5 linked regions of the Oryzias latipes genome follow. The protein of the gene in region 1 interacts with the protein of each later gene in a biochemical or structural test. Links are inferred from orthologs where the notes say so. Each region holds a gene or a part of one and is shown on either strand. Other genes may lie near its edges.

Region 1 (5,705 bases):
CCATAGTGGGGGGAAGAGGGTGAGTATACCTGTGGGTAAGTACATTTTGGGATGGAAAATTTTGAAAGCACAGAATGAAACTGAAGGGGAAGAAATTATGATATCCCATTTTTACATAAACACTAAAGGGGGGGGGGGGGTCACCTGGCCCTTTTAAAACATGTTTCATTTCTGTGTCATCGCCCTCGCTGAAAAGTTTGAAAATCGAAGAACATTAGACCAAAGATGTGAAGACATTGGCGGTTATGTGAATTTCTTTGAGTTTGAGAAGGTTTGGAGTGAAACCTTTTTTGTTTGTTTTTTTTGCTTCTTCTTTGTGCCAGTGCTGTACGCCAGAGATTTCCCCGGCTCCTCAAACTGGTAGGTCAAATTGTTTTTTGTTTTTTTATGTCTACATAACAGTTGACCCTCTTTAAAACCATTTCTACCCTTTTGGTTAATTTAAAGCTAACCCATATTGAATTTAATAGGAAACCATCACAAAAGAGCTTGGATCAAAAACATCTCCTCGCTATTATAAAATGCAAATGCACAGTGTTTCCTGTTAATTAATTACTTTCTTTGTGACTTTTTATTTTTTATGCCAGGATGGTCAGGACCTCCCACCGCCCATTGGGTTTGATGTTGAAACACCCACTGCCATTCCACCCTGCAAGGTTAGTTCATTGACAGTGTGTAGTTCTATCAGATAGACGGTTGGTTGTTTTTCTTTGCTTGTAGATGATGTGAGAATAACAGTCAATTCAAAATTATGATTTATCAAACTTGAACTTTTTATCTCTCCAAGTACTATGTCTTTAATTTTTATTTGGTACTCAGGGTAGCTGCTTTGGCTCAGATGAAATAAAGGTGATCATCCTGCGATTCTTGCAGCAGTGAGTTTCTCAAACTGAACATCACCTCCATAGTCTTTCCATAGTTCTACTGGCCCGGGGTAACTGTAGAAACTTTGTTCCAGGTACTACAGTATATACGACTCGGGAAACAGACAACCTCTTCTGGATGCCTATCATGATGGTGCATCATTATCTATTACCACGCCTTACTCCACGCAGAACCCCTCCAGGTAAATGACGTGGCCAGTTCTTGAAGTTTATTAACCATTTAAAAATGTGGGCTGTGGTTACATTTATGTTTCAAATGCAGTGGTAGAAATAGATGATCTGTGTGTTTACTGCCAATACAGTGTTTGTCTTTATCCTCTATTTAGGAGCAGTCTGGGGGAGTATTACAAAGACAGTCGAAACCTTAAGAGAATCAAAGACACAAGTGAGTTTTCATCCAGACGTGTTCCCCGCCATAAGATGCTCTGTGATGCATATTGACGTTTACTTCTCTTCTCTAGCGATGCGCTTTCGACTGCTGAAGCACACACGGCTAAACGTGGTGGCGTTCCTTAACGAGCTTCCAAAGACGCAACACGATATTGCCTCCTTTGTTATTGATGTCAACACTTGCACAGTAAGTTCTTGTCAAATTAGGCCAACTAGTTGTGATGTCCTTGCTCTTGTTTAAAAATTGCACTTTTTTTTTTTACAGAACACACTACTGTCATTTACCATTGGTGGAGTCTTCAAAGAAGGTAGGATATATACTTGTGCAGGAATTTGGCAGCATTTCAACTGACACCAAAGTAGACTGTGGGGCTGATGTTTCATATTTTTTTTATTCAGTTGTTGTTGATGGAAAGTCCAGAGAATCCACAATGGCGTTCTCCAGGGTCTTCATCACAGTCCCTGCAGGAAATTCTGGGTAAGTTTCTTAACAGATGCCTGCCTAATTCTCCCTTTCTGTAGAAAAATTCATAAATGTCCTTTTTATCTGTTTACACAAATCAGAAATAACTGTATTTGACTAAATCTTCATTCTCTGTAAAATGTTTGCACCCACTCGTGTGAGTGGTACATGCTGTGTCATGTTACTGCTGGAGTGACAACACTGTTGGCATTTAAGTCACTAAAACATCGGCCAGAACACATAAGGACAGTAAAGTTGTCTGTGGTCACAGCTTGCAGAACCACTCCTATATCTATTGTGTCTAATGGCCTATTATTTCCACCTGTTGTCTATTCCACTTGCAGTAAAACATGTGAAATTGATTCTTAGTCAGTGTTGCTTCCTGATTGGGCAGTTTGATTACACAGACATGTGATTGACTTTGAGTTAAGTGTTCCCTTTCTTTTTTGAGCAGTGTGCTTCTTACATTTTCCTACAATCTGTAGAAGAAAAAAAATTTGTTAGTTTTGAGAAAATGTTAAACACCAGAAGAACTGATCAATTTATAATTACGGTACTTTATTATGGCCTAACTCGGGTGTAGATTCTGCTGATGTTGTTGGGCATAAACAATGTTCCAATCGGTCATTTTCATTTGAGGAGAAAGTTTCCCGGCTACAGTTGTGGAGGCGCGCCTACAAGCAGAAATGTATTTGGTCATTACATACTGAAATTCAGTCTTCTTGTGCTAAAGAGAAAAACTATTTTGTGATCTTGTTATAAAATGAAAGACCTTGTTTTCTTGTGATAATGAGATAGTAGATGTCATTATAGGAAAAAAGTTAAATTTGATAACAAATAAAATAACTATTACTAAAAAACAGGCCTAAAAAAGCATGCATGGCCATTCACAGATTGTGTTAAAAATGCAATTTTAAACAAAGGAAAATCAATTTTCAGTCGTCTTCCCTGGTATTAAAAAAAAATTTCTTGTCAAACGTGTCGTCTTTGACAGCTTGTGCATCGTCAATGACCAGCTTTTCATACGAATGGCAACAACAGAGGAGATCCGCAGAGCGTTTGTGGCCCCTGCCCCAACTCCATCATCCAGTCCCGTCCCAACCCTAACTGCACCACAGCAAGAAATGCTCACAGCCTTTTCACAGGAGTCTGGCATGAACCTGGAATGGTCACAAAAGTAGGATTCCTTCACTTTTTGGAATTGTTTCACTTGTACTGCTATTAGATTTGAACAGTGTAACATTAAACGCTTCTGTTGCAGATGCCTACAAGACAATGAATGGGATTTCAACAGAGCAGCACACATCTTCACTCAGTTAAAGGTAACAAATTGTCTTTCAAAATAAAAAAAAAATTATTTCTTATTTTTTGCAGTTTAAAAAAACGTTTTCTATTTCTCTCCACAGGCGGAAGGCAAGATCCCAGATGTTGCCTTCATAAAATAACTAAATATGTAAAATGAAACCTTCTGATTTTATTTTTTTATAATTATTTTGTGGCTTTTTGTTCCAATGAAAGAAAGGTAGATTGAACTTGTTACTCTTGTTTTACCAGCAACACATGTTAACAGTTTAGACAGGTTTTGCTGTTTGGATGTTGTATCCTGTCTTTATGGCCAATAAATATAGACACAAGTGTACATTTTTAAATAAAAATGAAGCCAATAATTGAACATTTTGCCTTTTTAAGAAATAAAATGGATCTTGACAAATGGCTTAAAGAGTTAACCTCAATCTGTTTTTTTTACATAATTTTTTCTTCAAAGTACCGTAGTTCTTACCCTTTAGTTGTGAGCAAACACTTGGAGAAAAAAACATCTTAAAGATGGCTAATACATTTTTTTACAAAAAATCATGTGAGCCACAACACAAGACAAAAAGAAGACACAAGTGCAGTTAATACAAAGCATTCTGTTTTACATCCTATTGGCAAAGGTAATGAATTTAAGAATATTGACAATTTTATTATATATAATTAAATTAAAAAAAAATGTAAACGAGAATTGTTAAAATCGTATCCAGTCTGACTAAATGGTTACGAATCAAACTGTTGGATTGATGTGATTGATGTTTGCACTGATAATTAAATTAATAAAATTACTCTCAGCCTGTTTTGGGCATTTGAGTGACAGCATTACTTATCATTTTTAACTGAGGATTGTTATTGAATTACTCAATTTAAGATGCATTTCATATCATGAAAAGAGGCTTATTGCCCCTACCATAAGTGGGTCCACTTGGCGTGGAACCTCATTTACAAACATAACTGTTCTCCACACAAGTATATAATCTGGAACAACATATCTTATTTAGAAATGAATTACTTAGAGACTTGGATGCAGAATGGGATCCTAATGGTGGCTGAGCTATTAGATGCCATATCCTCAGGAACATTAATACTGTTAAATTTGTTACCTACTGGAATCATAATATCAGATCCAACTGAGTCACCTGTGGGAAGCAACTGCCCTCAAAAGGCTACGACCAATTATCTTATTTGAAACAATTTGTTTCTGATATTAACTGGAAAGTATTTTGAATGATCCCTCATAAATGTCTAATTATGTGGTAAAGGGTATTCTTTTGAATTCTTCCTAAAATATACAAGGCAAAGGAATACATGACAAAATGTAAAAAAATCAATCTCTAAAGGCTCTCTAAACGCGTTTTGTGAAACTTTGCTGTATTACAATGTACAATGTAAAAAAACCCGCTTATTACCAATAATATTTATTTTTAATTGACATATTCAAAGTTAAAATGCAAAACTAAAAGAAAAATAAAGAATAAAAACTGAATAATAGTAATACAATGAAATAAGAAAAATAGAAGAAAGGCAGTAATTTACGTAAACAGATAATCTAAGATGTAATCTAAGAGTCTTGTTTTCCAAATTTGATGGAATTTTTAACATAAATTGGGATTCAGTTTTATAAGGCAACATTCATGAATTTAAAAAATCCTAAAATGATCCACCTGTTAAAGAACTGAATATTTTCTTTGATTATAAACCCAAACTGAATGTTATCAAACGTTATTAAGGGGTATTGTATTTTTTAAAGCAAGTACTATACGTTCCGCCAAAAATATATTAACCACCATAAAAAAAAATATGTTTCTTTGTTTTAATATCGTTTTATCACAAAGGGCACTGATGATCTTGAATTTCTTGCCAAAAGTGGCGTTTCTCTTCCGGGTTTTCTCTTTCGTCATCGTGACGTCTTACGCACGTACGCCACCATACCATCAGTTGGCGTATGATAACAATAAACAACCCAGAAGGAAGAGATACGCACCACTAGGACCTGTCGCTCCACACATAGGAGCCTAAAACATGATTCGGGGCGGCTGGAGTTGGTTGGAGTAAAGCCTCGTAACTTTCACCGGAGGCCTTTGGGTTCCCGACACGAAGGATTATCTAGTTTTTCGACAAGGCTAAGGGGAAACTAAAGTTACGGTTTCTCTCTTCCTTAGCTTCTTCAAGCTAGCTCCTGGTCATTCCTTGATTTGTCCACTTTGTTTGAGTCTGTTATGCAGTTGCCACAGGCCCGTACTCGCACTCGTTCTCTTTCGCCGCCTCTTCGCTCCCTCTCCCCGCTCTCTCTGGCCTTATGTCTCGCTGGCTTTTCCCCTGGTCTGGCTCAATCAAGAAGCGGGCCTGTCGGTACCTTTTACAACACTACCTCGGTCACTTTTTGCAGGAACGACTGAGCTTGGATCAGCTCGGTTTGGATCTGTATAACGGCAGTGGTGTCATCAAGGAAATCAACCTCGACGTGTGGGTGAGTTTTCTGAGGGAGAAAGAAGGACAGCAGGCAGCAGAGGGCTTGTGTTATTGTGAGGCTCGTCCACTGACTCCTGACTGTTTCGCAACCGCACTCGAGTTTAACAACAATCTCTAACGTCACGTCTGCAGCAGAGCTCGCGTTTCTTCGGGGAAAAACGCTCAGCGTGGTCACTAGGCCATCC
Region 2 (5,999 bases), on another chromosome or scaffold:
AAATATGAGGGGAAAGAGCTGCCACGACACCACACAGCTGCACTGTTGGTTACCTTGAGACAATCCAGCACCTTGTGTTACAGATGAAAAACTGAAGCCCGTCGATCTGCAAAAGCAGCCAGGAAGTAAGAATGAAAAACATCTGTAGTACTGAGCAAAGGCAACAATACTGCTTTCCAATTGATAACACTTTCTAGGGATGTCCCCATCCTATCACAGATTATTAAATTAAATACTCAAATAACAGTCTGCATATCATGAATGGATCATAATGCTTTAAAACCCATTGGAATACGGCACTAGTTAGAGCAGGAAGCGCACAATACAGGTTGTTAAAGTAAGCAACATATTCAATGATTTGGATTTCTGGGCTCAATAACTCTTTCGATAAATGTTTAGAACTGACAGCAAGCGTCTCTATTGGTTTAACTTTTTTTTTTTTTTTTTTTTTTTTTTTTTTTTTTTTTTTTTTTTTTTTTTTTTTTTTTTTTAACTTGTCCTGTCCAACAGCTAGGCAAACAGATGAGAGCTGAGGGCCTCTTGTGTTGGACATATTTTATTCTAACAAGAGGGGTTATTCATCTTCAGACAAACCAAAGGTATGTCTGAATAAACCCCTTTTGTAATTGAGGCCAAACTTTATTAATTTCAATCATGTTTGAAAATCTTTGGTGTTGGACCGGACGGAAAAGGAAAGAGGGGAACAAGAGAGAGGGACGTTAGAGAGAGGGGGGGGTAGGAGGGTGATAATAGGAGGGGAAGGGGGGTAAGACCATGAAGCAGCATAGAGCAGACAGGTTTACTGGTTGTTTATCGTTACGGTACGGTTCAAATGTAGTACAAAAAGGGCGGGGCCTGTTCACACACACTCAAATATTATCAACACACCTGCTAGCCGCAGAAATGTCCACATGTCAACATGCACACAAAACAGATAGTGTTCACGAACGCATACCTATGCCTTTAAACCAACTAGTGTGAAATCTTTCATTCATTCAATCATGCAAACTATTAGTGCAAAGGTGAGCTAACACCTGTGCTCAGGTGAGTGTTTATGTTCTTCTAAAATGGATGGTGGAATGTGAAAAGAAGGAGGAGGAGCGCCCAGCCACCCCCACACCCATACCCCCGCCGCAGCAGCAGCGGCAGCCGGAATTCCCCCAGCGCCACACGGGAACAGGCAGGGAACAACCGCCCCCCGGGCGACCAAGACCGCCACCCAGGCCAGGGCCAGCAGGACCGCCGCAAGGCCCCCAGAGCCAGAGAGCAGGGAGGCGCGGAGGGAAAGAGAGCGCCGCCCCAGCCCAGCCAGGAAAGCAGCCCCCCGCCGCGCCGGAAGAGCCCAACGCAGGTTTATTGGTTTAACTTAATGCAAACAATGACCCACAAAGTCATTTCAACAGAAAAAATATCAGATTTTTTTTTTTTAAGAGAACAGCTCTCTCTATACTGCTGATAGAGACGGCAGTGGGGCGGCTGCCAAGGGACTGTCTACAAAGTGCAAACTCTGGTAAAAAGTTATTTCAAAAAAAGTTTTAAAACAAGCAAAATAAATAAACGATTTTATTGATGTGAGCTAAGCATGTTTATTTATCCTCAAGCTACGACAACGATTTTGGAAGAAAGTTGTCTATAATTTTTACAAATATTTTTAATGGAGATATGAATCACATAAAGCTTCAGTCACTAAACTTTCTCCCCTGACTAATCATCACCTTTTTCTTTTAATGCCATTTGTGTTAACTCACCCTGAGGTGAATGAGAAGGCCTTGCTGGTGTTTTGCTCAAGTGAACTAGGTGGACCCCCGGAAAGGTCTGTTTTGGATGGTTGGCCTTGAGGACAAAAACATTCATAACATGAGTAAGAAAACTGCTAAAAATCGGATTTGCTTTTACAAAGTCCTAACTAAAAATTAGGGTCATGTGTTTATGTGTAACCACAAAGAAATTGGTGCAGATGTTAGGTCTCTTGCATCAAAACAGATTTTATCTTACAACACTTACCAAAGACAAAGCCTGTCTGTGGAATAGATGCATTCTCTGTGGGTATCTTTTGCAGACCCGGTGTGTTCTGCAAAGACACACATTTACCGCTGCAGATTCAAACTCGTAATCACAAAGTCAGCACTTTTCAGCAGGTGGAAAGGAAAAAAACAAAACATTCACACAGTGTCCTTTTGCGTCCACATTTACGAACTTGAACTCGTCCTGGAACAGGACTCGAATGAGGTGGCTCTCCTGTCAGACTGCAGCAGATTGTAGCACAAATTCAGGAGGGACATGAGGTATTTCTCGCCTGTGCAGTGAAGGCCTGTCTTCAGATGCCAAACTGTCAGCAGTTCGTGAAATTTCACATGTTGAATGTTATTTAAAATTATGAGGAAATATATAATTTTAATATGTCTTATCTAATCTTTTTCTATGTAAAACATGACGCCATTTTTAAATAGGAAATTGAGTAAAATGTGCGACACTACAATGAAAAAGTGCATGTCTGAAAATTCATCCAAAAATCATCCATACAGACAAGAGTGACTTCAGTCACAATACCACAACTGTAAACAAAAGATTTGTAAATAAAAAGTTGACTGGCAACCGCCTGCAGAGTGATAGAAAGATCCAACTCACTCGTTTGACTTGGCTGCTAGAAACTGCTGTGAAGCCCTGGACTGAGGGATCTGGCGCCGAGGAGCTGCAGAAGATCAACAAGACGGGTGGGACAGTTATTAAACACAAAGAAAATATGAGACTGAACATGAAGTTCATGTTTATTTAATTTAAAAAATTGGCTGGCCACAAGACTTTTTAATCAAAATATGGCCTTGTTCTTCATCTTAATGTTATTTATAGATATTGCATTATTTTAGTGTATTTGTGTCCATCTTAAAAAATAACATGTTTATAAAAATCTAGCATTAAAGATAAATAGCTAAACATGCAGTTTTCAAAATACCCCCCCAAAAAAAAACAGGTGTGTGAGACAATCTAATGTTTAGTGGTATAACAGTTTTTCTAATATTAAACATTGTTTTTTTTAATTGATAAAATAATATGATGGTTTTTTTTATTATTGTTTTTGTATTATGTGGTGTATTATTGTATTGTATTGTATTATTGTCTCTTGAAAAAAAGAAGCTTTCTTTAAGGTAAGTTAAGCAGACAGAAACCCTCAGCATTCAATAGCAATCACTCCATCTTTTGACAGTTTTATTTTTTTTACTAAAAAAGCAGGATGTTTTTAAATCTTTTTTAAAATATTCTTGGTGTTGATAGATAATCATAATTGCAATTGGCTACTTTTCATGACACATGACACAAATAAAAAAAGTGAAGTTAGTGACTTTCCCCTCTTCTAAAAACAGTTCAGGGTTTGATTTTTTTTTTACCTGACCATAGAGGACACTGGCATAGGTGCCCCTTTGTCCTTAAGCTCCTGAACATTCACTACTTGAGGGACAGTTTTTAAGGTGGACTCTGTCAAAGAAGTGTTGACAACAGCTGGAAAAAAAGAAGAAAAATACAAAAATTAAAATAGAAGCATTTAGGAGTAAAATGTGAGTTTTTATTGTTGTAGCCTTGAGTATCAGAAGGCCAATTTAGGTTCAGTAAGTTTTCCTTCAGGACCATTATTTAGTGTTTCCTGAGGTTTTATTGATGGGAATTTTTCTTTTTTATATGTTGAGATTTGTCTCCCCCTTGTGGTTTAGATGTTGCAAAGCAACAAAAACTTGACTTGTGTGCACATTATTGAAGGGAAAAATCTACTTAGAAGTGAATTTTTGAGCTGATTGTTCCTCCTACCCGTCTTCTGATTGGCCATTTGTCTCCGCAGAGCCGCGGTGGCAGCAGCCTGCTGGGCAGAGATGGTCACAGGGATGCTCCGCTCTGCAGGTGGTGCTCCATGCTTTACCGTCTTTGTGGCAAGCGCAGTACTTTCAGCCCCGCTGAGGTTAATCCTATTTGTAGGAACTAAAATAAAACATTTTCAATGAAACAGTGTTTTTTAAAGTATTCTTTTGGCTGTGCTATGAGGAAATTTCATTTCAAATATATTATAAGCTTGATAGGTTGGAAAAAGGCCAAACATGTTTGATTTACTTACCAGGGTTGATAATGGGGCTTAGCACAAAGCCCATACCAGGAACAGGGTGCATCTTTGTTAGAGGGGTGGACTGTATAGCTCCAAAGCCTGGCTGAATGGAGGGCGTTCGAACAACAGTGGGGTGACGTGGGGTGGGAAGTGATTGGGTCATGGAATTCATAGGTGAAGGCTGCAGGGGCTGTAGTTCTTCCTCTTCCTCCAACTCCAAGTGAGATGGGAGAAGCTCTATAGACTGCGATAAGGAGGACGTTGAGCTCACATCATCCAAGTCCTCAAGGTTTTTAGGGGCCAGGAAGGCCGAGCGCGACAAGTTGGCTGGAAAACAATTAAGTCTTTAGAAACTTATTTACGGAACAAATTTGATTCAATTCAACTATGAAGGCACATATAACAGTACCTGGTGCAGTTGAACGCACAGGAGGCATTTTCCCTTTTGACAGGAAGTTGCGCAGTTGGGACTGTTTAAGAGGAGAAACCTTGACTGCTTGACAAACGCACCAAAATAAAAAACTTATTTAACTCAAATGAAATGAAGAATAGGTTCAAAAAATTAATTTTTGTGAAAATGTACTTCCACACCTGCTGATTTCACTTTTGTCTCAGGAGGAGTCGTTTCAAGCCGGGCTTTCAGAAGTGCCTCCTCCAAATTCTCCAGCTCACCTTTGTAGCTTTAATAAAACAGAAACATTTTATATTAAGTTGTGAAACTATGAATGCATTCCAAAAAAAAAATCCAGGGAATTCCAGCTTATTGAAGTAAAGATTTCTTTGAATCTGAGCCTTAAAATCATTATCTGAGGTGCTTCCAATCACAGCCTTTTTCACATTTATACACTTTTGAATTTGTCAAGTCCTCTCAGCCTAATGACAGCTCTTACTCATCTGATGTTGCTGCAGTGTTCTGGTTAATGGTAGGAGCAGTGGTTTTGCTGTAGAGCCGCAGAGCACTGAGCTCCTGAATCAGCTGATCCAGTCGGTTCTTCTGCTGGTTGATGATGCACAGGTTGTTGGACAATGTATTGAAAAGACCCTCACGTCCAGGCACGACCATGTGTCTGAAAAGAAAGGATTTATTTATTAAAAGTTGTTTACAGACGCATTCAGTTCCAGCTGAATAAGTGATCCTCCACACTCACTTTTGCTTTTTCTTTTTCTCCAGGTGTTTCTCCCATTCCACATCCAACACGTCGTTAACATCCTCCACAGCAAATTTAACGTACTGGTACAGCCTCCGAATCTCCTGACAACGGAACACACCATGACCAAAAGACTTTTATTTGTCTTAAAGAAACCTCAATAATTGGCATATGAAGTACAGTGGTCCCTCACTATAATTTTGGTACACCTTTCACTGCGGGATATATATATATATATATATATATATATATATATTTATTATTTTTTACAGCAACTAAATTTGCCAAATCTACATAAATCTTGATCGCAATCAGATCCTGTTTTCATTTTATAACAGTAGACTTGTTTTTCTATGAAGGCTTGAACTTTGAGAGTTTAAACAAGAAAGAAAGGAGTGAAAACATTCATGTCTGTCTGAGAAAAGTGTATGAAGGGTGTAGTGAGGGTTTTACTGCTTTAAAACATCTGTAATCGTACCTGTAAATACAACTCATCTGCTGCTTTATTCCTCACCTTGAGTTGCTCCTCACTTCTGGGATCCAGAGGTTTTTTGTACAACAGCTGTCTGTAGTTTTTATCTTTTCCCAGCTCGTTCTGCGTCTTGGCTTCTTCCGCCCCAGCAAAGCCCTCCAGTAATGTGGTCTTCAGCGTGCCAATGTCACCATGGAGAGACTTCAACACGGGCAAGAAAATATCGAAAAATCTTACAAGGTGTCGATTGTAACATCATACAATTTTTAAAAAGTTGTCAAAAGGAAAA
Region 3 (6,776 bases), on another chromosome or scaffold:
GCCCAAAAACATTTTAAGTAATTGTTAAAAAATGATCAAATAGCAATGTACAATTATATCTGGTTACAAGGCCTACATGACATATCCTATGTCAGACGTGCAAACATGTCAATCTGCTGCAGTTTTAGGAATTATAAAACGTAGGTTCACTGGTGAACAAAGGCCCCAAAGGACTGTATATGGGTTTAATGGGAATATTCTCAATTCTCTTTCTTAGCTTCACTATGACAACCACAGTCGGAACGGATACGCTGACATTCGCTCTCTCAGACATGTGTTTCCAATAGAAAAATGCCCAAACCCATCAGAAACACTTTCCACACCCACAGCTTCAAATTCCAGCAAGGCCCTGGGACTCAGCAGCCTTTTCTGCAGCCTCTACTGATTAAGTCCCAGATTAAGAAGTGAAGATAAGAAATGCTGTCAGGAAGAATATCAGACTCGAGAGATTGTCATCTTTAGTAAAGCTGGAGAAATGGCACATAATGGGTTTGTGTTTGGTTTTTGTGTCTTTTTTTTGGTCTTTGTACAGATATGAAAAAATGATCAAACTCAGCGAGATAGTACTAACCAACATGAAATCATGGCATACCTATGAGCTGAACAGCTATTAGTTTTAATCAAACTCTTGTGAAAGTTACTGTTTTTCCACAAGCTTTTATATGTCTTCATTTACTAACATAATCAATAACAGGTCAGCTTGAAGCAGTATGTAGTAAACACAGTTATCTATCAAATTCACTAAAAGCATCATATCATTAAAACAATTTAAAATAGGTTACTTTACCGTGTACAGCAATAATTTTTATGGATGTTTACAGACCTTTGTTCACATTGGAACTGTTTAAGCGTCACATCTTGTACAACAAAAAAAAAAAAACCTTCAAAAGATGATTTAGCCATTAACTGTTTAAGAGAACTGGACCAAGCGAGTGTGACATCACCCATAGAGTGTGGCTTATACTTCCAGTTCCAAAGACCTTCGTCAATTCAGTCTGCAGTTCTTAACATCGCCGTGTTGGAACCAGAAATCGTTAATGAGCAGTAATCAGTCAGAGTCGGCCTGAGATAGCATTTTTATGGCAACCACTCTCCCCAATCAGGAGTGAGCTTGTTGGACGTCCACTCCTCTACCACTTGAAAGTGTGCTCTGGAGAATCAGTCAATCTAACTCTTGTTGTTTGACCACATGCTTTTATTGAGGCATCTGCTTGGTCAGTTTATAACTTGAATAAGTTGCACTTCCTGCGCTGCCAGGATGAATGCTTCAGTGCTGTCCTGTAGGCCAGGCCTTTCTAGCCATTGGTAGGACTTCTTGACATAAGCCACTTCCTTAATGGTCCAATGGGACATCCCATGTAGGGGCTTGTCCTCCCATGAGGATCTGTCCTATAGCACCGCATCCTCTGCTCCCCATTGCCTGAGACTTTCACAGAGCACACTGTCAATTGGGGCCTTGAGCTTGATGTATTCATGCATCTTGGATTTTTCATCCTGGATAGTGGTTTCCACGCTCAACAGTCCTCGGCTAACGGACATGGTGACCAGTACATTTACCAGCTTGTCTTGAAAAAAGTGTGCTTGATCAAACAAGGCTTGGGGTAAATTTGACTTCCTATTTTTCCTTCAGACCTTTTGACCACTTCCATCTTGTGGTACATTAAAGAACACCTGTCTTCCGTTAAAAGCAAATTCGAATGATGCCTGATACACTTTACACCTCAAATTCAGAACACACACACATACATACAGTAAAACAAAATGAAAAATGAATAAAAATTTTAAATCATACTTCCAGTTTCACTACTTTCTGGACACTTGCAAAGAGGCTTCCGATTTAGAAAATAAATCATATGGAACATGTCCATGTGTTTTTGTTTGTATCTTTTAATATTCAGTTAATATGTTGATATTTGGGTCATTCCAGAACTGGAGGACATTTGGGCTGCAAAATTCATGAAGAGCAAACTTTGACTTTTCTAATTCTCTGCTATATAATCGTCAATAAAAGGTAATATCTGTCAAAGGCTTGATTAACTTTGCTTACAGATCAACTGCGAAATATTTATGACATTATATTGATGATGACAAGACTTGATGCAACCTTGTTATCAATTTTTGCAAGTAACAGGGTTGCAAACATGTATTAATATTGACTTTCTCTCAGGAGTAGACGCTAGTTGTTTAGCTGTCACTGAGTACCAATAAGAAAATTAATGTGATTTCAATGGCATGCCTTTTTGCATTTCTGACCACCCCAGAATGAATGGTGATATCTTGTTTTTCTCAGTTGCTACTTTACATGCTAATTTGATTGCTTACTTACTCATAAAAAAGCAACAACAATAACAATAATTGTCTTACTCTGATTATAGGGAAACAGGGTTGCATGAGGCGGAGTGAGACATTCAATCTAGGATAACTATGTGTTAAAAATAAAAGATCCACGTAACTTTTGCTCTACCCATTCTTTTTGAATACTGTTTGATGATGTCAAGTCCAGCATATCACTCTTTGCTATATTCTAACCCTCTTACCTGTTATGGTAAAAGGAATTGTGTGGATTCGGTGGGAAACACATTGTATTGATCATAAATAATATTTGAAATACTTCTTTTATTTAAAAAAATCCCACGGTTACATAAAACACCAATCAAAACAAGATATACCAAAAACTGAATCTAAAATTTAATTTTAACTGCTTTTATTGAAGATTTAATTTGGACAATGGGGGACGGGACAAGAAAAAATGCATTTTAGGGGGTACATTGAGCTTATTTGGCATTTTTTAAATTATTTTCAGTAATTATTTTCACTTAGTTTTGCATGTGGATTATTTAAAATAGGTTTATTCTGAAATGACCCATTTTTTAATCCATCGCTGTGTGCGTGATTGACGGGATTTTAAAAGGTTTTAACCAATCGCCGCCCCCCAAACACCGGCCAATCAGCGCATGGAGGCGGGTCTTCTCACAAATCTTAACAAAATGGCGACTGTTGTTGTTTTGCCGCAGGGTCGGTAAATAAATTCTTTGAACGTATTGGATATTTTCTACATTATTTTGTGGAAGGAGTGCAGGAAAAAGCCAGTTACCACAAAGAGTTTACTCTTCGTGGGCTGCAATGAAAGGAAAGGAGCGGTCGCCGATTAAAAAACGGTCCCGGGCCTTGGACGACATTCGAGAGAGGGGAGGATGCCACCCGACCAGCAAGAAAATGGGGGCTCTCTCCGTTTCCAGTGGGAGTAATAATGGAAACAGTTCGTCCAAAAGCGACAGCGGCTCAACGAGACGGAGCTTGTTGGGTGAGAAAAGGGACAGAGATTTTGAGGGCCATAGTCGGACTGGAAATAATCACAGCTGTCAGTCTGCTGCTTCCAGCTCCGTGGGTAAAAACCACAACCTGAGCCTGTCGCTAGACCTAGCCTCCCCGCGAGCCTCTTCGCGCGCGGAGCAGCGTGTTCCGCCGCCCAGCACCGAGAGTGAGTACAAAACACTCAAAATCAGCGACCTTGGGAATCAGCTGAGCGAGGAGGATATAGAAGATGGGCTTTTTCATGAATTCAAAAAGTTTGGCGACGTGAGCGTCAAAATTAGTCGCAGCAACGACGAACGGATTGCTTTCGTTAACTTCAGGAAGCCGGAGGACGCCAGGGCTGCTAAACACGCCAGAGGCCGGCTCGTGCTCTACGACCGGCCGCTGAAGATCGAGGCCGTTTACACGAGCAGGAGGAGAAGCCGCTCCCCCGTGGAGAGGGACTTGTACAGCGCAGCACAAAGTCACAGACACTTGCAGAGACCCCTGTCGCCCACCGGCCTGGGTTACAGAGACTACCGGCTGCAGCAGCTGGCTTTGGGACGGCTCCCTCCTCCCCCTCCGCCCCCTCTGCCCAGAGAACTGGACCGGGACAGAGAGTTCGCCCTGTTTGAAGCCAGGGCACGTCCAGCTTTCCTTGCAGAGCGAGCAGCTTTTCGTGAAGAGGATTTAATATCTCCGGAAGACGACCAAAGAGCAAACAGGACTTTGTTTTTAGGCAACTTGGACATAAACATTGCAGAAGCAGACCTCAGGCGGGCTTTCGACAGGTTTGGAGTCATAACAGAGGTGGACATCAAGAGACCATCACGAGGACAGACCAGCACATATGGATTTCTTAAGTTTGAGAACCTTGACATGGCTCATCGTGCTAAGCTTAGCATGTCTGGAAAAATAGTGGGTCGCAACCCTATAAAAATCGGTTACGGAAAAGCAACACCCACGACCCGTTTGTGGGTCGGTGGACTTGGACCGTGGGTTCCTTTAGCTGCCCTGGCCAGAGAATTTGATCGCTTTGGCACTATAAGGACCATTGACTACAGAAAAGGTGACACTTGGGCCTACATCCAGTATGAAAGTTTAGATGCTGCTCAAGCAGCATGGACACACATGAGAGGCTTTCCGCTGGGAGGCCCAGAGAGAAGACTTCGGGTGGATTTCGCAGACACTGAGCACCGGTACCAGCAGCAGTTCTTGCAGCCTCTCCCTATTCCACCGTTTGACATGGTGGCTGACTCGTTTGTCCACCGCGCCACGCCTGAACCTCTGAGAGTCAGAGATCGGACTCCACCTCCACTTCACTTCAGGGACAGAGAACTCTTTCCAGCAACGGAGTGGCCCAACCCGGCCATTCGTGAGCGGGTCCGGGGATCCCCCTTTGAGCCTCTGGAACATTTGGAACGCGACCGGAGAACTCGAGAGCCTTGGTCTTTGGAGCGTGAGCTGCAAGGGCGAGAACCAGGACGTAAGAGACGCTTATTGGAGGATGGCCGTCACCTAGATCACTCTCCTGACAGCACTGAGAGGACAGTGAGACGTAGACGTTCTTCTCCAGATGGCAGTCCTGGGGGCAGCAGCAGAGACGGAGGACGTTTCAGTGACTCTGAGCATCCTGTGCACAGTGAAACGGCCTCACCAGCCAGAGAACATGTCATTAGCCTTGAAAGAGGTGGGGCGGATCGAAGGGTTAAAAGCCAGAGTCTTTCTGAGAAAGGACTCTCATCTGCTGGTGAGCGGAAACGCAAAGCGGGCGACAGTGGCAAAGTGCCTGCCAAGAGAGAACGCTCTGAAAGCAGCTCTAAAGGAGCCCAGCAATCCAAACCTGATGGCACCAAACTCATTGTGGCATGGCGCGGAATGCTGCTCCTGAAGAACAGCAACTTTCCAGCCAGCATGCATCTCCTAGAAGGTGACTACGGCGTCGCCAGCGACCTGCTCATCGACGGCTCAACCGGAAGGCAGGTGAGCGAGCTAAAGATCACGCAGCGTCTCCGTCTGGACCAGCCAAAGCTTGATGAGGTGTCTCGGCGCATCAAAGTCGCCGGTCCAGGCGGCTACGCCATCCTGTTGGCAGTTCCTGGAAGCACAGAGGACTCCTCTTCATCTGATCCTATGGCCTCAACCCAGCGGCCCCTTCGCAACCTGGTGTCCTACCTCAACCAAAAACAAGCAGCTGGGGTCATCAGTCTGCCTGTGGGAGGGAGCAGAGATAAAGACAACACAGGGGTTCTTCATGCTTTCCCCCCCTGTGATTTCTCTCAGCAATTCCTGGATTCCTCTGCAAAAGCTCTGGCAAAAAGCGAAGAAGACTATCTGGTCATGATTGTGGTTCGTGGAGCATCTTAAAAAAAAAAAAAGAGAAAAAGTCACAATGCACTATGTTCAAGTGGAATATAAGAAAAAACAAGTCTGCTGTTTGTCAGTAATTATTGCATGCTGTGTTCTGCATTGTGGGGTACACTAGTATGGTTCTTGAGTGTTTGTAAGGTGCCATGTAATTCACTAAAAAGACATATGGTGCCCTGCAACCAAACTAAAAGGTTCATCTTAAAAATATCAAGTGAGTATTTGAATTTGATCAGTCACAAATGCTTCATTACAAATTGATGATTTGGGGATTTATTAGTTAAAATTCAGATGTTCTGCAAGAATGAAAAACCTCAGAGTATTTACACAATAACTCGGTGATAAAAGAAGCCCAACATATAAAAATGACTTTATTTAATTTTTGCTTTTAGATCATTTTTTTTCTGATCCACTATGTTGCATTACCTCAGCCTGTGCTGATGGTGTTATTGTTGGTATTCTGAAAAAAACAGCAAACCCCCCCTTACCTTCACCTAAAGTGCAGTGAATTGTCAGCTCTTTCTGCTTTGAGTAAATTGTGAACTCAAGATACTTGAGGAAATGGAAATAAATGGTTCTATTAACTGTTATAGAATGGCAGTAACAAATATTTTTGTTGTAAAGGGAGAACAGATATTCCAATAAGGTTAAAACACATCACACAACTCTTCAATGGAACTACATCCGATAACTTAGCCGTGTTCTTTAGTTAAAATAACACCATTTCCGTTAAAAGTTTCAAAGAAAAAATGAGTTGTGCTCTGTGTTTGACCTCGGTTCCACAGTAGTTAATTGAAGGTCACCATTTGGTTAGAGTCCATGTATTTCAGCTGCAGTTTTGTGAACTTTTGCTGGGGGAGGGGTCAGGTTTTATTGAATCAAGTTCCTGAAATTTTTTGTTTTTTTTTTGCCGAAATGTAGCATAACTTGGGGATGCTAATATCTGTGTGTGGATAGCTGAACACTAACGTTTAAGCGGTGTTCCTGCCCAGGGAACAGCCCATAATATGCAAAACGAATGAATGCAAATACTTACATTGCAATTTTAGAATTTTATTCGTTTTAAAGCTTTTTTTTTAATTTAGTGCCCCCTTTTTTCCTCCACACATGGATGC
Region 4 (6,739 bases), on another chromosome or scaffold:
TTCACATGATTTTCTCCTTGTTTTTCCAAACGTGTTTATTAGCAGTCAAGTTGATCCAAGTTATCCTACGAGTTATCCTATTCTAGCCCTGATATACTTCTAGAACAGTGACCTCTTTAAAACTGTCAACATTTAAAGTATTGCTTAGGATTTGGGTCTGGCTCCAAATGTTCCCTGAAACTATTTAAGGTGAAAAAAATATAATATTGGGGGGTTTTATAATGAGTAAAAATGTGATGATGAACTCTAAAAATTGATATCATTTTAACTATTTTCCTTTCAACAAATTAACAAAATCCTGAAGAAAGTATTTCTTTGAAATATTGGAATTTCTATTCTTGGATATTTGTTCTAAAATTAATCAAATTGGATTTACTTTTTTTTACTAATGTTTTGCTGTATGAATATTTCTTCTGTGGGAATTCTCTTCTGCCACAAAAGTAATTTTTGTAAAAAATAAAGTCTGGATTCACTCTAAAACAGTTACTGGTTTAGGATAAACTTTGGTTATCATGTGTGAAAAATATTGCAACTTCGCTGTGTGGTACTTTATCTAAACATTTTGCTGCATGAAGCATGCATTCCTCTGTATTAGCCCTTTTTATTGCTTTAAATAGTGGATTTTAGATCGATGTATTTGTCACAGTATGAAACTAAAGGCTGCTCACACAGTAGTGTGAATATTTTGTCACCCAATACTCCATAAAATATTCTTGAATGTAACTTAAATAGGTGTGTGTTATGGAGTTAATAAACAGCTTTAGAATTTGTTCCCATCTACTACCCACAGGACTGAATTGTTACTAAAATACATCTGACATCCATTGAATGAAACATCTATGGTGGGATTTGACCTTTTAACTGTTGGTGAACAGCACCTCAACCACTTGCCGTCCTTCTCACCTTTATTCCTTCTCAGCCTGGCAGTGTGTGCTCAGAGACATCCGATCAACGCAAAACAGTGAGCGTAACGACCGCGGGCCGCAGGAGTATGTGGAGAAGAACCCTAACCCTAATCTACATTGTAAGTTACAGAGACATTAAGCCAAGAGATCTTTATGTTGATTTAGGACATTTTTTAAATGACACTTGTGTTTCTGTTTGGTTTTGCAGCATTTACACCAGTGGACCTGAGTGATCTTAAAAAGCGCAACACACAGGACTCTAAGAAATCTTAGTCTTTTCTATGATGATCCACTTGCTTTTTTTTTTTCTCCACCCATTATTGTAAAGAACTTTTGATTTATCAGCCCGCTGTCAGCAAGAACGTTTGACCCATTGGCCAATCTAACCCAGAATGCAAATCGAATCTCTACTCTGGACTAAAGCAACCTCTGCCCCCCCCCCCTTTTTTTTTTTAAATCCTCAACAAGAACCAAAAGGATTTGGATTTCAGGGAGTTCAGATTCTTCCCACTTTCTCTGCATTTTTAGTTCACAGTTTTCATCAAAAGTTTCAATGAAGGTTTTGTGGTTAAGGCACAAAAAACGAGGACACAAGACTTAAACCCTCTACTACCAAATGTACCCTGATGACTTTGAAAGAAAATATGAAAGGGCTGACTTCTGTTTTTATTTTTTGGAAAACCAATTGATAAACAGTAGAATGATCTCAATGGATATCCTCTTAGTGGGCTTGTTTTGGAAACCAAAATACAATGTGGAAGGCCAACATTTTTTTTATTATTATTATTATTATTATACATTTTTCTTGCCCTGGGATGGACATTGTTGAGTAGTGAATGCAGGAATGCAGCTCTTATCTCCTTCCTCTAAGCCTTGGAAGCAAAATGTTGAATAAAAGACTTTTACAGAACTTCTGCTTGGTTTGACACTCATGTATGTTTGTTATAATACAATGAACAGTAATCAGTGTTAGGCTGTTTTTTTCCTCGGAACAAACGTTAGCTAAAAGTATGGAAAACGATCATAAATAAGAGGTTAAAAACTCCCCAGTATATCCCCCACCCCACTAAAATTCAGCTATTTTTAAATATACATAACTGTATTTGTAGTTTAGCTTTACAGATTGATTATATCTTTGATTTTCACTTTTTTTACACCCACAATTATTAGGAAAGTAATTCTTTTGCTTTTTTTATTAATAACAGCAATACCAGTTTTTTGTTATTTCTTTATAATAACGTGCAATTAACAGAGGTAGAGTTTACAGACAAACAGAGCCATGTAGCTCAGAAACAATCAATGTAGGAAAGGTTTCAATAAAAGAACAAGAGGGAAACTTTCTTTTTTGTTTGTTTTCTAATTAGGTGAAGAAGTTGTTGGTCTTAAAAATACTACTACCTTCAAATCAAAACAATAGAGTTGCATTTATATTTGTTATTTACATATTTCAAATGAATGTGAAGGAAGAATACAATCATGCATTCTCGTGCAGGGTGCTTTTTTAATCCTTATTGTAGTATGAAGAAGAGCAAAATTTTGAATAATACTTTGAATTGCTATCTTTTTATGCAAAATTAATCTTTTGAGATCAAATTAATTTCAACTTCTTAGCAGATTTGCTGACGTGTCTCATCAAAAAGAGATCCAATTTGTATTTATAATATGCATATTGAGAGTTCAGGGTGTTGTCCAATTTAAGCATTCATTATAATAACGTTTCTTGATCAAACTAAGAAAGTTTTCTTTAGGTCATAGTCACATCTAAATAAAAAATCAATTCAATACAAATTTCATTTGAAATATGAAACCACATTTTTGTTTGTTTAAAGAAGTGCCTTAGCCTATTTGTTTTCAATGTAATTTAAAGTCTAAAAGTATTTTTTTTTATGTTATTCAGTTTCGTTATAGAGATATAGTTAAAAGTGTTTGATTTAATGCTTTGATTGCTTCTTTTAGTGTTACTATGAACTGAACACACCCATGTATGGCGTTTTTTAGGAATAATGTTTTAGTTTCCAGTAGAGGGCGGTAAAGAGTTGTTGTAGTTTTTAACGTAATGACGTCAAGAGTACGTGTTCTCCAACCAATCAGCTTTTCTACAGCTTGTGGGCGCTTTTCATTGTGCTTAGTACTTGGACCAGAGAGCGTAAATCTACGGACGAAGAGAGGGAACAGCTTAGTCCAGGGTGTTTTAAGACAATTTAAATCTTTACAGTGCTTTAGAGTTATCGGGGCAGCATAATGGCGGATAAGATGGATATGTCTCTAGACGACATTATCAAGCTGAACAGGCAGAGTAGAGGCGGAGCCCGTGGGGGAAGAGGCCGAGGCCGCGGAGGCTCAGGCGGTGCCCGTGGAGGAGGCCTTGGGCGTCTTGGTGGTGGCGGCGGCGGATTTGGAGGCCGAGGCGGAGGATCAGGCCCCATGAGGACCCGACAGAACCTGAGCCGCGCTAGAGGCAGACCAACGCCTTATAGCAGGGTATGAGAAAGTTAGACGAATGGGCATTGGAAGGAAAAAAACCTTCGTCAAAGCTGAAAATTCCTGGTTTACGTCTTCTTTTCTCCATTTGGCTTGACGGCTAATCACCTAGCTAGTCAAGCCATTAAAATGGTTGCTTACCGCTGAGTTTCCCTTAGAGGAGAGCTCTATAGTTTGTGGATAAGCATAAATGGAGGTTGTTTGCATAATATGTCCCTTCTCCCACAACCTATATGTGTCGCACCACTTTTCAAGAAGAAGCTGCTTGAGGAGCGACTATGTTAGCCACATTGGCTAACCTGCCGGATCGTGAAGGTCTCAGCGCCATTTTGAATCCAACAACCTCGAATACAATTTGGCGTCAAAATGATGTTTTACCCCAAGTGTCGTAATGGTCTGGAAAGAAAAGGATGCCTACATCGCTGAGAAGGTTCCTGCACGTTTTTTCCATTGCTACGGAATCACATTCCTTCCAACGTCCTGCTACATCTTCAAGGCGGCCTTTTGTCCCAGGAATGGCTGACGGGGTTTCTTAAAATCCCACCCAAAAGGCTTTTCACCAAATGTCACATATGGATGGATACGTGGACTCATACTTAATCCCCTCAAATTTCCTTTATTTTTTTTTTTTTTTTTGTAAAAAGAAGCCCAATCTTCACTCCTGGGGTGTGAATGAATATAAATGCAACCCAAACAAAGCCCCGATCAAAATGGCGTGGTTTCAAAATGGACGTCCGCGTACTCCACGCACTAAAAAGGGGGCTATCGGCTTCTTTCCCCCCAAAATGTTCTTCACCTGTAACATCCTAAAGACATTTCTTCATGAAAGTCGAATTGTGGCCTGACAAAGGACTGTTGTGAGCCTGGACAAGCGGCGCAACGCGGGATGCGAGGCTGCTTCTGCCGGGGACCCCCCCTCGTGTGCCTGAGGAGCATGTCGACAGACAGAGCAGTTGGTGGAGTAGCAGATGGCAAGAAACGACGGGGTTATGCTAGCTAGTTTGGGGCGGATTTTTGGTTCATGTAAAGATTTTTTAAAGTTAATGTATGAAAATGATTAGTTTAAATATCTGTCAGCTTTTTGTCTTACTTTACAAGTAGTAAAACATTGAAATTTTCTGTATCAAAACACCAAAATAGCTATTTTTAAATTTGTGTATTTCTGTCTGAAGTGATTCACGTGATTGTAACGATGGGGTGGGCAGGGATCATGGGGGGGTCTGCTGAGCACCCTGGCCGTGTTGGAAGTGGAGCACCTGCTTGCACCAACACCCAGCCGTGTGGACTCTGTGAAAGACAGAGGCAGGGGATCCTGAAGTCAGCAGGTGCGTTCTCTTTCGTCTGTTGCAGCCCAAACAGCTTCCCGATAAATGGCAGCACGACATGTTTGACAACGGCTTCAGCGGCTTCAATGGGGCTGCTGGAGGTGGCGGAGGAGCTGGTGTGGAAACGGGAGGAAAGCTCCTCGTCTCCAATCTGGACTTTGGGGTGTCAGACGCAGACATCCAGGTACAACTTAGCTAGCATATCTGATGGTGATGTTTTTTTTTTTTAATTGATGACTTAGTTTTGACTTTTTTTTTTTTTATCGAAGGAACTCTTTGCTGAATTTGGGACTCTAAAGAAAGCTGCAGTTCATTACGACAGATCAGGAAGAAGCCTTGGAACGGCAGATGTCCACTTTGAAAGGAGGGCAGATGCCCTGAAAGCCATGAAACAGTACAATGGCATTCCTCTTGATGGTATTCTTCTACTTTATTACAGATTTATTTAATTAGATAAATACATTTAAATATTAGTTGATCTTCCCAAGATTAAAGCCTAATTTGTGTTTAGGGCGGCCTATGAACATTCAGCTCGTCACATCACAGATCGACACACAGAGGCGGCCTATGCAGGGGTAAGTAAGCATGGATTCTTGGGAAACTGGAAACAGGCTGTTGTGTAAACCCCAATTACATTTTCTTTGTGTATTTGTTTTGTTTTACCAGTATGAACAGAGGTGGTGGAGGCATGAGTAGAAATCGGGGTTTCGGAGGGATGCAAAGAGGCCGAGGGGTCCGTGGTGCAGGTGGTCCCAGAGGAAGAGGGCGGGGGGGGCGCGGCGGTGCCCCCAAGCAACCGCTATCGGCAGAAGAGCTTGACGCCCAGTTAGATGCTTACAATGCCAGGGTACATCTGTCAAAATAGAAAGCATCTTCTGTTGAAGTTGTTTTGCAGCTGTCCTAATTCTGTTTCACCTCTTGTTTTCTCAGATGGATACCAGTTAAGGAAACCTCCCATCCTAGTTGACGTCATCCCTCCCTGTCTGCACAGAAAGGGGTGCTTGTTACAGATGTGCAGAATATTTTACACTTGTCTTCTGATGTGATTGAAATTGTTCCAACCTCTTCTTTTAAATACTCCAAAGTGTTTTTTACCAAGTGTTTTATTTTTGTTTTAATTTTTTTTTTTTTTTTGATCGAATGGTTTTACTGTAGGTTAACTGCTGGGTGGAGTTTTCTCAGTTTCTCCCAACCCTGTAGTGAATGGAACTTGTAATAAAAACCTGCAGTATATATTAAATAAGCAATGGGTCATTGTTGTTTTGCTTTATTTTTTACTAAAACCAGTCTAAGGTGGAAATATGCTGGTTGTATTTACATGAAAGCTTTTACTACTTTTTAAAATGCATAGGCTAATAAAATTATTAAATGTTTGTAAATTACATTGTCCAATTGTATTTCAAGCAGTTAAAGATCAAATTCATATCTGCTATGACCTGCTTTACCCTGGGGGTTAAATACTTTTCAATGCATTCTATATTTTCAAGAGTTCAGCCACTAGATGTCGCCCTTGTTCAAATTTGATGGGTTATGTTCTGAAATTTGCTTTTGTGGCGGTTTCCTTTCTTCGCCTCTCAGTTGATGATGAAAGTGCACACATGAAACTGTAGGTGTACGTAACTTTTTATGGGACGCTAAAAGAAGGAATAAGTTAATCTAATAGGGAAGATAACTGAACTCGGAAAAGCTGCACCTTCCACCACACTTTCCGGAAGTGTTCCATAAAAGGCTCTTTTTTTTTTTTCCTTCAGCTTCCGGTTAATTTAACTGAAAACAAGATACTACCTGTGTTTGCTACCTTTGTTGTAAGGAATTTTGTTAATGTCTGTTTGAGACTGGTTGTCTACAGAAAATTCTGGTAAAGGTGGCTAACCCTAAAAACTCAGACACTACTTAAAAACGCTTTGATAAAATAGGTTTATTTTTAACTTAAATTTTTTGTATTTAAAGCAAATAAAATATGTTGAAAGTAGGTTTAACTTTCAATGTGGAGTTTCAGCAAAAGTAATAAACCTACATGGAACACAT
Region 5 (6,397 bases), on another chromosome or scaffold:
TTAGTCATTTTAATAAAAATGTCAGTCATCATGGTGTCAGATAAGCCCCACTTTTTCTCTGAATTCTGACTTTTTGTTTTCCCTGGTTGATGTTTCGTCAGTTTTGATTATTTTATGCTTTTCTAGTCTTTGTTTTCCCCCTTCATTTGAATTCACTTCCACGTGCTTTTGAGCAATACAGCAATGAGGTGAACACCTAAGAGTTCTGTTAGCAAATGTTTCACTCACTGTGCTGGTTCAGCAGCATCCTGATGGATATTCTACTCATGTAAAACCGATCCAGAAAATACTGAACGTTCTGGCTGACGACTGGGTCGGTGCCGTAGGTTTCCTTATACTCCACGACGCCTTGAGCCATGGTGGGAATCACATCGTTGTGGCGGTTTCGGATTTTGATGACTGCATCTGTGAACCTGATCAAAAACCCGTTACAGGTTGAATGTGTAAAACCAGACTGTAGAACTGGTCCACTAGTAAAAACGACTCACTCATGTGTGACTTTTTCATTGTCTGCATTTTTGTCCTTGAATTTAAGGATGTCCTGGAAACTTTGCATATACCTAGGGATGGAAAATATCCATAAACGTGTGTGCAAACAGAAAACTCATAGGAAAATATTAATAAAAACAAAAGCACACCAGCTTTGGACCAAGCTAACTGATGAAGTTCTCAGCAGATTATCTGGCAGCAAATTAATTTCCTTCATGATGTTTGCCAGCCTCACAGGGAGCTCTTGTCTGAGGAAGGCGAAGGATGTTTTCTCACATGCATTTTCAGAACCTGAAGGAAGACAAAAACATGGAGGACTTTCAAAAATACTTTAAAGTATCCTTTAAAATTCCAACCATAAGCTAGAATACACACACATAGAGAGAGGGGGAGTAAATTACAACTATATTTAAAGCATCTAAAATTCATTTTACCAAAATCCAGAAACTGCTTCATGGATAAAGGCGAAGGAGAAAACTTTGAGTAATAGTCAATGTCCTTCCCGACCGCCACGCTCTTCCTCAGGAACCTTAAAAGCCTCATGTTGCTCTCCGGCCTCGACTTGATCAGATTTCAAACACACACGACACGTCCGAATTCTTATGGCGCACGCGGCCACAACAATAAATATGTGACGCTTGTTGACACACTAGCTTGTTGGCTAAACTCAGCAGTTCGCCCGCACGTTTGCGATTATCGACCGTGTTTCCACTTGGACTGAATTCCTGCTGCAGGCATGGTCACAGACGGACTAAAGCATCATCCCTCACTTCGGACGTCCTCTGTAAAATTCAGTCAAAAGTCAACACGGCAAACGCACCCACTCCGCAGCTGAGCTAGCAAGTTCAAAGAGTTGATTCGACGCCGAGAGAACAACGCAACTATTTTGCAGTAGTCTTTATAAAATAAAGATGACAACTTTTATGCAATTTAAATAGATTATTCTTCTGCTTTTATTTTATGGTGGTTGGAATACAACTTTTGGGATGTTCGCCACCTACAAATTGATCACTTTTGGTTCCTAACCCGCATATCAGATGGGTTAGATTAGACCGCTAAAAACACCACTAATGTAGAAAGTAATACATATTTGCGTGACAAATAAAATATATGTTGTTTTACTTTAAAGCGTTTAACAACAAAACGAATTTATATAATTTTAATTATTTAGCAAAATGCAAGAGGAATTATTAACATGTAGTTCATATCTACGACACTAAAAAGTGCGTTCTGTGCATCTCTTGTCCTCTATTAACTCTTTGACTGGTTGAAATGCCGTCGCTCTGATCCCCAGTGCTTGTCTGTAAGGTTAAAAAATAAAAACCAATCAAATGTCAGCATTTTTCATTTCGGCACAGTAATTTGGTGTTAAGGATGTCAATCTAAACTAGAGGGTGGGGCTTTTTCTCTGACAGACAGAATTGAGGGCAAAATTGCATGTTGAAAGTGGCGTCACTTCCTTTAGCTACAACAGAAAGTATGCTCAAAGAAACGTTTGGTCAGTTACCCACGTTTTTTTTAAAGATGCTTCGCTAGTATTATTATATTTACCGGCACAGTGAAAGAATTAGTTATTAGACTATGATTTAAAATATCCGTGGCTAACGTAAGAAGTCCTCTCATTAGACGGTTTTTCTTCGGTGAAGCTAGTTGAACCGGCAGCTCGTGCTAGCGACCCGCCAAAAACTGTGGTGAAAGATACCATTTTGTTCGTAAGCTGTAAAGTCATTTTGTTTTTATCAGAGGAAGAACATGAGTGGCGGATTCAACTTCGGGCAACCTTCGGGTTTTGCCTTCGGAGCGCAGAAGACCACAGCGGCCGCTCCGGCCCCGGGCTTCAGTTTAACGAACTCCACGGCTGCGGCTTCGGGAACGGGCTTCTCTTTTGGCACTCCGACTCAGAGTCAGACCAACGCCAACCCGACCGGTGGCTTCAGTTTTGGCGCACCGGCTAAGAACTCTTCCGCCGGCGGCACCGGCTTCTCCTTTGGCACACCCAACGCCGCCGCCGCCACCGGCACGTTCGGCCTGGCCACGACTACCCAAACCACCGCCGCCACTGGGTTGACCTTAGGCTCCTCGGCCGCTCCAGCTGCGGGGTCCGGCTTCACCCTGGGCGGGATGTTGTCTTCGCAGACGAACAGCGCCGCTCCAGCGGGAGGGGGCTTCAACTTTGGGGCTACCTCCCAGGCCCCACCCGCAGCGACAGTTGCACCTACAACAACCACCGCATCAGGTGGCATGGCTTTCGGAGGGTTCAGCTTCGGAGCGCCGAAAGTCCAGGTGACCTCAGCTGCAAGCACAACCATCGCAGCGGGGGGAGGAGGCTTCAGCTTCGGGACCCCTGCCCCCTCCACCCTCACCCAGCCAGCCCCAGCAGCTGCAGCTCCAGCAGCTCCAACCCAGGGTGGAGGGTTTAACTTCGGAATTAAACCCTCATCAACACCAGCTCCTCCCGCATCCACCCAGTCAGCCCCCACCCAGTCAGCCCCCACCCTAGGCCTGTCTCTGTTTGCGTCACCTATCATCACAACCTCTGCAGCAGCGCCAACTTCAGGTTTTACTTTGGGTGCAGCTCCAGCGTTGTCAACCAGCATGGCAGCATCCACAGCTGCAGGTACAGCTCCATCCTTCATGCTCAAGCCTCTGGGGTCCGTTGCCAGCACAGCAGCAAACACCGGCTCCACCACCACCACAACAACTGCAGCTGTCACAGCTAATGCCACCGCAGGCTTCACGCTGGGATTCAAACCTCCGACCATCTCAAGCTCCACAACAGCCTCCACAGCAACAGCCGTTACAACCACCACCACGGCCCCTCCGGTGATGACCTACGCCCAGCTGGAGGGTCTCATAAACAAGTGGAGTCTTGAACTTCAGGACCAAGAGAGGCATTTCTTACAGCAGGCAACTCAGGTCAACGCTTGGGACAGAATGCTGGTGGAGAACGGGGAAAAGATCACGTCTCTGCATAAGGAGATGGAGAAGGTGAAGCTGGACCAGAGAAGGCTCAACCAGGAGCTCGATTTCATTCTGTCCCAGCAGAAGGAGCTGGAGGACTTGCTTTGCCCTCTGGAAGAGACTGTGAAGGAGCAGAGCGGAACCATCTACATGCAGAACGCAGACGAGGAACGCGAAAGAACATACAAGCTCGCTGAGAACGTGGACGCCCAGCTGAAGAGGATGTCACAGGACCTGAAGGAGATCATTGAGCACCTGAACACATCCAGCGGGCCGGCAGACACCAGTGATCCAGTAAGATCTGAGCCTTTTTTTTTTAAATCATATTTCTCATAAAATCAAGTCTTCTGCTGTTTTAATCGCCTTCCTTTCTTTTTGAATCCTTTAGCTTCAGCAGATTTGCAAGATCCTGAATGCTCACATGGATTCGCTGCAGTGGATCGACCAGAACTCTGTCCTGCTGCACAGAAGAGTGGAGGAAGTGTCCAAACAGTGCGACACCCAGCGCAAAGAGCAGGAGAAGACCTTTCGTCTAACCTTTGACTGATTTGTTTTTTGGCTCAGTGCTTATTTTTCCCATTTTGCTTTGGATTTTCTCCTTTATTATACTTCTATTGTGTGTTGCAAAACTATTTTAAATGCAATCATCTTTATAATTGTATCTACCTGAATAGAATGATTAAAAACAAATTTTGAACTTTTTTGTGTTTTCACATCCTAATTTTACCTGTTTTTTATCTATATTTAGGATTGAAAAACATCTAATGACAAGATTTGTTTCTTGTTCTAAGACTGATGTTACCCCTTGTGCTATCTTAGATGACCCCACCCTTACATTGACGTGTTCTCCCTACCATGACAAAGGTGGAAAGATTTCATGTAATCCATGGACACCAGTGAAGATCACAAATCATTGAAGAAAAAAGGTTCAGCGCACTGTCTAGTGGGTCTAGATGACCCCACTCCCAATGTTAAAGTGCCTAGGATAGCACAAGGGTTAATACTTGCAAGGTGGATTTTCAATTAGGATGTTTTTGCTATGACACTCGTTTGAAGGGGAATTGACTTCAGCATTTGTTTGAGTTTTGTCAAAACAATGTTTTAAACTTAATTTACGGAGAAGCTGAAGATGTTTTTTTTTTTATATAGAAAAGGAAGATTCATTAGAAATAATTCTTTAAATTGTTTTATATATGACAAAAAGAAGCAGTTACACCCATAAAAACAGTCTTTTTAGCACATTCCCTTTGGATTGAATAAAAATAAAAACAATCCGATTCAGTGATGATCTAAAGTACAGTGGATGCTACCTGAACATCACAGCAGTGAGAGATTTCAACTTGACGGGAACACAGGCGATGAGTAAAATGACATCATTCCACAGTGATGGACTTGTACCTTTGCATAGATTTGACAACAATAGCATCTCAGCTGTAAACCTGTTATTACGAACCTTTGGCACCATGTTTTTTTTTATACAAAAATAAATACAAAATGTGCAGAAACCATAAAAAACAAACAGCACATAGAAAAATATATCTGTACAGTGTCAAAATTCAAGGTACTGAAACCAGTAAATCCTGGATTTACACATTAAAAATGATGTCAGCAGAATGATTGATTATTTATCGAACAAATGATCTCAGCTTTCAAGAGTAACTTTCACTGTCCATCCATGATGTCATCCACTGCTTCTTTTCAGTAACATCAGGTTTGAGTTTTGCATCTTCACGCTCGACACTCTCCTTCCTTATCCGCACCGCGTGGTACTGAGGAACGCTGTCGTCCTTCTGGGAGCGCTTGAAGAATCCGCACTGGTGACACAGGCAAAACATGAGATGAAACAGGAAGGCAGGTGTGGATCCTGACATTAAGCATGCTCTTGCTTAGCGTATTTTTGGAGTCCAAGCAGACAAAATGCTGACAGGCCGCGCATCGACAGAACTGTGCACAGGAAAAGCACCGAAATGTGGGCAAAATTCAGAGACACATGTGGCACCACTGGAAAGCATATTTTGTCAGTGGTTCATTCATGCTGGATTGTTTTTAAATGACTTCTATCGTGTGGTTAGTAAAATTTGAGTCCGGCTGAATTTGTCCCACATCACATCTGCAGATGGAGCAGAAAGGTAAACTCATGAGCAACTGCAAAAGCACGCTTCATGCTAACGTTACCCCCGTTCAGACAGAAAGTCAGGCCTCAGTGAGTGTTTCTTGTTCAGAAGGCTGTTGATGGATATCTGCCCTGTGACTGGCAGCCTCATATTGATCTTTATATGCTCTTTTGAAGAAACCGCACTGAGGAGGAGCAAGGGCAGTGGTTAGGAGCGATGCTCTATCATCCTCAATTTCATCCAGTAAATGGACAGTAAAATAAACTGCCTTTTACCGTCCATTTTGTGTTGTACCTCTTCTAGTATTTTGCACAGAAAACTTGGAGAGAAAAGATCTTAATGTTTTGTGGCTTTGTAATAAAGTTCTTTAGGAACAAATATTCAAAAAAGAAAAAAGAAAATACTTGATGTTGTAACTCTGATCCGTATTGGAAAGCCAGAAAATATGAATGGCTTTAAATACATTAATATTAATATTATATATATATATATAATACATTTAATACATATAAATTTAGATAAATAATTAATATGGATATAATAAATACAATGGAGAATCATATCCCCCCTGTGACGTTGAGAAGCCCAACTACTTAAAAACAAATATTTTGCATTATCTTTCACAAAAATAGGGACTTCTCTAAAATGACATTTAATTACAAAATATATTTACCAAACCTCAAATAAATTGTTAAAACTAATTGTGAAGGAACTCGTGTTCTTTGGTCTTTTCAGACAAAAAAAAACGTTCATCACTACTTTGTGTTTATTTCACTATAAAAAACTCTAAACTATTCAGTAAAGTCAAATAGATTTCATTTTACAGCTCCCTT

What was found.
Region 2: the proteins of nxf1 (region 1) and nup214 form a complex in vitro, tested with the Homo sapiens proteins (4 studies listed by BioGRID and IntAct). The link is inferred for Oryzias latipes from reciprocal best matches to the Homo sapiens genes NXF1 and NUP214.
Region 3: the proteins of nxf1 (region 1) and rbm15 form a complex in vitro, tested with the Homo sapiens proteins (2 studies listed by BioGRID). The link is inferred for Oryzias latipes from reciprocal best matches to the Homo sapiens genes NXF1 and RBM15.
Region 4: the proteins of nxf1 (region 1) and THO complex subunit 4 form a complex in vitro, tested with the Homo sapiens proteins (2 studies listed by BioGRID and IntAct). The link is inferred for Oryzias latipes from reciprocal best matches to the Homo sapiens genes NXF1 and ALYREF.
Region 5: the proteins of nxf1 (region 1) and nup62 form a complex in vitro, tested with the Homo sapiens proteins (3 studies listed by BioGRID and IntAct). The link is inferred for Oryzias latipes from reciprocal best matches to the Homo sapiens genes NXF1 and NUP62.

The regions. Positions count from the first base shown.
Region 1 is NC_019868.2:11,991,537-11,997,241, reverse strand, and holds the end of nxf1 (nuclear RNA export factor 1), read left to right. Parts: intron 1-323; coding exon 324-360; intron 361-587; coding exon 588-656; intron 657-819; coding exon 820-875; intron 876-958; coding exon 959-1,066; intron 1,067-1,210; coding exon 1,211-1,269; intron 1,270-1,345; coding exon 1,346-1,461; intron 1,462-1,539; coding exon 1,540-1,582; intron 1,583-1,673; coding exon 1,674-1,752; intron 1,753-2,731; coding exon 2,732-2,914; intron 2,915-2,998; coding exon 2,999-3,059; intron 3,060-3,143; coding exon 3,144-3,182; 3' UTR 3,183-3,459; downstream 3,460-5,705. Other genes in the region: atg2a (autophagy-related protein 2 homolog A), read left to right, coding at 5,348-5,518.
Region 2 is NC_019870.2:10,686,428-10,692,426, forward strand, and holds part of nup214 (nuclear pore complex protein Nup214), read right to left. Parts: intron 5,912-5,999; coding exon 5,753-5,911; intron 5,343-5,752; coding exon 5,239-5,342; intron 5,158-5,238; coding exon 4,981-5,157; intron 4,771-4,980; coding exon 4,682-4,770; intron 4,587-4,681; coding exon 4,500-4,586; intron 4,418-4,499; coding exon 4,103-4,417; intron 3,970-4,102; coding exon 3,802-3,969; intron 3,499-3,801; coding exon 3,387-3,498; intron 2,693-3,386; coding exon 2,629-2,692; intron 2,072-2,628; coding exon 2,005-2,071; intron 1,834-2,004; coding exon 1,749-1,833; intron 107-1,748; coding exon 54-106; intron 1-53. UniProt on the Homo sapiens protein: Part of the nuclear pore complex. Has a critical role in nucleocytoplasmic transport.
Region 3 is NC_019865.2:10,858,167-10,864,942, forward strand, and holds the start of rbm15 (putative RNA-binding protein 15), read left to right. Parts: upstream 1-2,959; 5' UTR 2,960-3,123; coding exon 3,124-5,661; 3' UTR 5,662-6,776. UniProt on the Homo sapiens protein: RNA-binding protein that acts as a key regulator of N6-methyladenosine (m6A) methylation of RNAs, thereby regulating different processes, such as hematopoietic cell homeostasis, alternative splicing of mRNAs and X chromosome inactivation mediated by Xist RNA.
Region 4 is NC_019866.2:15,368,897-15,375,635, reverse strand, and holds THO complex subunit 4, read left to right. Parts: upstream 1-2,999; 5' UTR 3,000-3,146; coding exon 3,147-3,386; intron 3,387-4,736; coding exon 4,737-4,895; intron 4,896-4,980; coding exon 4,981-5,128; intron 5,129-5,222; coding exon 5,223-5,286; intron 5,287-5,377; coding exon 5,378-5,558; intron 5,559-5,641; coding exon 5,642-5,656; 3' UTR 5,657-5,965; downstream 5,966-6,739. Other genes in the region: mcrip1 (mapk-regulated corepressor-interacting protein 1), read left to right, coding at 920-1,024, 1,114-1,178. UniProt on the Homo sapiens protein: Functions as an mRNA export adapter; component of the transcription/export (TREX) complex which is thought to couple mRNA transcription, processing and nuclear export, and specifically associates with spliced mRNA and not with unspliced pre-mRNA.
Region 5 is NC_019879.2:22,072,110-22,078,506, reverse strand, and holds nup62 (nuclear pore glycoprotein p62), read left to right. Parts: upstream 1-1,925; 5' UTR 1,926-2,241; coding exon 2,242-3,744; intron 3,745-3,838; coding exon 3,839-3,997; 3' UTR 3,998-4,151; downstream 4,152-6,397. Other genes in the region: pdk1 (pyruvate dehydrogenase (acetyl-transferring) kinase isozyme 1, mitochondrial), read right to left, coding at 229-413, 489-560, 639-780, 924-1,032; itga6 (integrin alpha-6), read right to left, coding at 5,100-5,264. UniProt on the Homo sapiens protein: Essential component of the nuclear pore complex. The N-terminal is probably involved in nucleocytoplasmic transport.